2 linked regions of the Macaca fascicularis genome follow. The protein of the gene in region 2 purifies or fractionates together with the protein of the main gene of each other region. This does not show direct contact. Links are inferred from orthologs where the notes say so. Each region holds a gene or a part of one and is shown on either strand. Other genes may lie near its edges.

Region 1 (2,629 bases), on a different chromosome or scaffold from region 2:
TCACAGAGTATAGCTTGAAATGGATAAAGTGGTAAGCATTTTCCAGTCGGTATATACTTTTTTTGTTTGTTTTCCTGAGACAGAGTCTTGCTCTGCTGCTGAGGCTGGAGTGCGGTGGCACAATCTCGGCTCACTGCAACCTCCGCCTTCAGGGTTCAAGCAATTCTCGTGCCTCAGCCTCCTGAGTAGCGGGGATTACAGGAATGCACCACCATGCCCGGCTAATTTTTATATTTTTAGTAGAGACGGGATTTCATCATGTTGGCCAGGCTAGTTTCTAACTCCTGACCTCAGGTGATTTGCCTGCCTCGGCCTCCCCAAGTGTTAGGATTATCGGCGTGAGCCACTATGCCCAGCCACAATGGTGTATTCTATTGTAGATGATTCTAGACATTGTCAGAGTTACCAACTCTGCTGATGACTTGAGCTGTTCTTTCTCTCCCCCATACCATTCTTCAGACCAGGAAACACTGATGCATACACCCACTAGTGTCTTTCCCAAAAAGGGCAACAAGAAGCACATTAGAATTAAAGCTTCATAACATATGCGAAAAAATAAGGATCCCTGAATTGCTACATAAAGTAGCAAACGGAAACATGAGATAATAATGCCGACTGATTACCAATCTCATACTTTATTATAGTTGCTAAGATTTCTACTTAACTGGATGAAGAGTATCAGGGCAGTTGGTTCTAGCTGGCAACCCAATGCCTCCAGGTCTAAGAAATAGAGTTGCTGGAAGAAAATAAATTGGGGTAGGGAGGGAAAGAACTTCTACAGATCCATTTAGCAGATGAGGATAATTGTTCAAAGTCACATAGCTGATACACAGATGGGATTTTAGGTTCTATAGCCAAGACTCTTTCATCTACTGTTTCGTATATCAAGAAGGGGTGACCTGGGTTGGGCGTGGTGGCTCAAGGCTGTAATCCCAGCACTCTGGGAGGCCGAGGCAGGTGGATCAGAAAGTCAGGAGTTCGAGACTAGCCTGGCCAATATGGGAAACCCTGTCTCTACTAAAAACACAAAAATTAGTTGGGCATGGTGGCAGGTGCCTATAGTCCCAGCTACTTGGGAGGCTGAGGAAGGAGAATTGCTTGAATCCAGGAGGCGGAGGTTGCAGTGAGCCGAGGTCATGCCACTGCACTCCAGCCTGGGTGACAGAGTGAGACTCCGTCTCAAAAAAAGAAAATAAATAAATAAATAAATAAATAAATAAGGGGTGACCTGAAGTTGGGACCTGTATAGTGATGGGGTTAACATCAGAGCAATCTTTCCAGGGCTCAAAGGCAGGAAAGACGTTCTCTACAGAAAGAGCTATTGGTTGTACTGTCTGAGAACTTGAATAATGGAAAAGAAAGAAAGATTAGCCTTTTTGCAGTCAAGTCTGATGCTTGAGAAGGCACTGTCTTTGAAGATGGAAGATGGGGCACATCTCAGGTTGAATGATGGGATCCCTGTAGAACGGCTTAAAGATTTTAAGATTCTTGAGTGACAGGGAGGAAAAGGAAGGGATGGATCTAAAACTTAAAAGGAAAAACTCCATCTGGAGAAAAAAAAGACCCTCTTTTTCTTTAAAGAAAAATGGGAGAGGAAGAAAGAGAAGATACTATAAATGCATAATAGATTGCTAAGATTTTGTAGTTTTTCTCATTTTTTCTAATTACTTGATGTACAACCACATAGACTATTTTTCTTTACCATGGTTACCTGTTTGGCTGCAATTTCTTCATCTCGTCCATCTCCAATCACTACATATGTGACTTTCTTTCCAAACCTTGACACAATCCTCTCAAAGCAGCTCTCCTTACCTGATGAGAAAAAGAAATTTCCTGTTAGAATACTCTTTTCAAAACCAAAGAAAAGGGCTGCTGCTAGGTTCACCTGCCTGTGCTTAGGTGGACTAAATGACAGTCCACGTAGTTTGCTTTCTGGGGAGTAGGGATGGGAGCTAGAGATCCAGTAGACCCTCTACCCAAAGAATGTGAAGTTGTGCCATTAAAACAACTTGGCCAGGCACAGTGGCTCAATGCCTGTAATCCCAGCACTTTGGGAAACCGAGGCAGGTGGATCACCTGAGGTCGGGAATTTGAGACCAGCCTGACCAACATGGAGAAACCATGTCTCTACTAAAAAACAAAATTAGCTGGGCGTGGTGGTACATGCCTGTAATCCCAGCTACTCAGGAGGCTGAGGCAGGAGAATCGCTTGAACCTGGGAGGCGGAGGTTGCAGTGGGCCAAGATCGCACCATTGCACTCCAGCCTGGGCAACAACAGTGAAACTCTGTCTCAACAAAACAAAACAAAACAAAACAAAACTTATTTTAACCTTCACATTGAGGGTGAAGTCCCTAAGATCTTAGTGGGAGGGAATTTCTATAAATGGGAGGGATTCATAGGTTTAGTAACTTGCCCCTAGATCACAAACAAGCAAGTAGCTAGAAGTTGGGGCCCCTGACTCCAAATCTAGGCTCTGATCATTGTACCATAATGAATGAATGATTTTTGAGGTGAAATGTTTTAGGGTAGAAAAGAGAAATGAAAACACAAGGCTCTGATTTCTTGTCAGAAACAATAACAAACAAACAAACAGCCATTTCCTTCCAATTCTTCATATCCCAGAAACA
Region 2 (3,656 bases):
CTTAGAACATCTGTGAGGTGAAGCTGCAAAGCCACACAAGGTGGAACGGCCATCAGTACCTCAATTTTACCTGGTATTTTTCTCCAAATGTTGCATCTCACATTCTGTTTAAAAATGCGTGCGTGGTGGAGCTGAGTAAGCTATCAAAGGAGTGTAGGTGGCCTCAGCTTGGCAAACGAAGGCCATGGAAGATGGAGTGCAAGCACCTCACAATCACGCTTTTTTGCTTTTTATTTTTTGAACATTTCAGTATCATCCAGTAATTCCTTTGGTCTTTACATAAAGCTTGTGAAGTAAGAAAGATACTAATTTTATGGGTGAGTAAACTGAGACTCAGAGAAATTAAAAAGTGACTTGCTGAAGAATTCATAGCTGGTTAATGACAAAGCAGGAGCTAGAATTCCAGACTCCCTTCTATCTTGTATTCTTTTCATTAAACCATGAATCATAAAGCATCTTCCTATAACCCACCCCACCGCACAACAGAATGAACACAAAACACGCTTGGTTGCAACGCATCCATATGCATCAGTAGCCTGTGTGTGTAAGACGTCTCCTCTGCCTGCAACATACGTCCTCAGTCCTCCCTCACTCCGGATTCCATGCTTCCCACCCACATCAGCTAACTCGATGCCTCTCAGCATAGCATGATTTTCTCAGAGACTCCCTCCCTAAACGCCACCCTGGCCCCCGACTCCTCAGATGAGTTGAGGTCCCTCCATTCCACACTCTGCCTTTCTCCTCCACAGCACACTGCTTAGTAACGACTGACGGGTTTGACACTGGAGTGTACTTCCAGCTAGACTGCAGTTAAGTGTCTGCATCTTGTCCAGCATCGGATCCCCAGTGCCTGAGAGGGCCAAGTTCATGTCGAGGAATGGATGCTTCTGGCGTGAAGGTTTTTGTGTGTATTTAACGAACATGCACACAAAAGGCATGCATCCCAGAAGGATGTGTTGCTTTCATTTCCGCAAATGAATAAAGCACACACTGGAAAGATGACAGAGGAAGAGCAATTCAGATGAACTTCTGTTAGGTCTTGATGAGAAAAACAAACCAAAATGAAAATAAAAAGGGGAGAGAACAGGGAAGAGAGTTCCTAAAATAAAAGCAAGAATGAGACCTCAATCTAAGAATAAAGAAAAAAACAGGAGTTCGTGACCAGTCTGGCCAACAAGGTGAGACACCATCTCTACTAAAAAACACACACACACACACACACAAAAATTAGGTGGGTGTGGTGGTGGCGCCTGCCTGTAATCCCAGCTACTCAGGAGCCTGAGTAGCTACTCAGGAGCCTGAGGCAGGAGAATCGCTTGAACCCGGAAGGCAAAGGTTGCAGTGAGTTGAGATCATGCCACTGTACTACAGCGCAGGTGACAGAGTGAAACTGTCTCAAAAAAAAAAAGCATAAATGGAGAGGAAATTAAGAGAAATAAAATCTAAAATAACAGTAAAGAACAAAAGGGGCTGGGTGCAGTGGAGGCGGAGGCAGATCGATCACCTGAGGTCAGGAGTTCCGAGATCAGCCTGGCCCACATGTTGAAACCCCGTGTTTTCTAAAAATACAAAAAAGTCGGCCAGGCATGGTGACGTTTGCCTGTAATCCCATCTACTTGGAAGGCTGAGGCAAAAGAAATCGCTTGAACTGGAGAGGCAGAAGCTGCAATGAGCCAAGATCGTGCCACCGTACTCCAGCCTGGGTGACAGTGTGAGATTCTGTCTCCAAAAAAAAAAAAAAAAATGGAAACGAGAGAAAGGCTGAATGGAAATTGGTAAGAATACTCAGCACTTAGAAAAGGTGCAGGCAAGGGGGACATTCTTGCCCAGGCCAGCCAGGTACAGGTAGAGGCACTGGGATGTTTCTCCATGGCCAAGAGGCAAGGGTAGAGGCCCCAAGGGCAACACAGCAGAAGCTGGGTAAGCAGGGTCAATGAGAGGTTGAGAGCAAACAGAACCTGCAATGAGTTCCACAGCTGGCATTGCCCAGGGCGAGTGAGCCGTGGGAGGGTGCCACTCAACAGGCTGATGCAAAGCCTAACAGCACAGAGACGCTGGAAGCTACGGCATAATCAGAGTTGCGTGTGTGTGAGAGTCAGAGGGCACAGCAGAAAACCAAGTTCTACCCTGACGGGCACAGGTCGGGGGGCAACTGGGCAGAGAGTTGGCTTCCTACAGATAGGCAGTTCCCTTTCTTTCTTTAACCCTAACAGAGCCATGACTGGAACAGATCGAGTAGTTAAGTTTATTTATTGTTATTTTTTTAATTTTTTGAGATGGAGTCTTGCTCTGTCACCCAGGCTGGAGTGCAGTGGTGTGATCTTGGCTCACTACAACCTCCACCTCCCAGGTTCAAGCAATTCTCCTGCCTCAGCCTCCCGAGTAGCTGGGATTACAGGGGTGCACCACCATGCCCAGCTAAGCTGTGTATTTTTAGTAGAGATGGAGTTTCACCATGTTGCCCAGGCTGGTCTTGAACTCCTGACCTAAGGTAATCCACCAGCCTTGGCCTCCCACAGGTGATCCACTAGCCTTGGCCTCCCACAGTGCTGGGATTACAGGCATGAGCCTCCTTGCCTGGCCAGAGTAGATACATTTGATAAATGATCTGTCCCATATCCACGGGGGCAGACTTTTCTCCTTTACTTTTCTTCTCACATCCCGTCTCTCTCTTCTCCCTGCTCCCTCCCTTCCTCTCCCCCTCTTCCTTCCATCTTTCTCTCCCTCTCAAGTTTGCAGTTGTTTTCTTGGTTTATTCATGGAGAGAAGCTGAACAAGACAGCTTTGGGATAGTGGCTCCCCTTCCCTCTACCATCAGGTCATCGACATAAGAATATATTTAGAATGGTCTAGAAGAAGGCAGGGTTAAGCGATTTGATCACAGGAGCTCAACAGCGTTGATGTTTTTGAAAGAAGGATGGGCGCCCAGACCCAATGGATAAAGCTCGGCATGTAAGGCAGGACAGGCACAGCTCCCACGCCATTCCAGTATCACAGGTATCCTTGTTTTTGGAAAGAGAACTGACAGACATGGACCGTGGAGGCAAACCGGCCAGGATGTGCAAGGGCCAAGGGGGAATCTGAAATACCTTTTTGCACTGAACGCACTGCATGGCATGTTGTTTCTCATAGCAGGGCACACAGAAATTCTGATTGTCTTTGGGGATGAAACTCTTGGTTCCAATTGGCTGCTGGCAGCGGTGGCAGATGAAGCAGGTCTCATGCCAGCTGCTGCCCTTGTACTCCATCTTGCGGGTACCTGTCATCAGGGTCAAGAGGAACACAGCAGAGTTATGCTTAGAGGGGCGTGGAGTCCCAGCAATTGCCTTCAGAGCTTGCCACCCTCTAGTTTTATGACCAGAGCAAGTCACTTCAGCTCTTGAAGGCTCACCTCTAAATGGAGGTAATTCCTATTTTGTGCAGGGCATGGACTTTGTCTTTTGGTTCACTACTGTACACCCAGCTCCTAGAACAACACGTGTACATTTTAGGTACTTAACATTTATTTATTGAAAACCGTGGTTAGGAATGTTAAATCTAAAAAAAGTTAAGTCTGCCTCAGCAATGCAAAGTATAAAGGGAAGTGTGGCATAGCTCCGATTAATTTCTATGGAGCATGACTTTTGGAGTCTAGGGACTGTATTCACCTACTGCAC

Evidence for each region.
Region 1: the proteins of FHL2 (region 2) and EYA3 purify together in Homo sapiens (affinity purification with mass spectrometry; 3 studies listed by BioGRID and IntAct, with this or other methods). This does not show direct contact. The link is inferred for Macaca fascicularis from reciprocal best matches to the Homo sapiens genes FHL2 and EYA3.

Annotation. Positions count from the first base shown.
Region 1 is NC_088375.1:207,099,082-207,101,710, reverse strand, and holds the end of EYA3 (protein phosphatase EYA3), read right to left. Parts: intron 1,813-2,629; coding exon 1,712-1,812; intron 737-1,711; coding exon 629-736; 3' UTR 611-628; downstream 1-610. UniProt on the Homo sapiens protein: Tyrosine phosphatase that specifically dephosphorylates 'Tyr-142' of histone H2AX (H2AXY142ph). 'Tyr-142' phosphorylation of histone H2AX plays a central role in DNA repair and acts as a mark that distinguishes between apoptotic and repair responses to genotoxic stress.
Region 2 is NC_088387.1:9,795,352-9,799,007, forward strand, and holds part of FHL2 (four and a half LIM domains protein 2), read right to left. Parts: intron 3,260-3,656; coding exon 3,090-3,259; intron 1-3,089. UniProt on the Homo sapiens protein: May function as a molecular transmitter linking various signaling pathways to transcriptional regulation. Negatively regulates the transcriptional repressor E4F1 and may function in cell growth.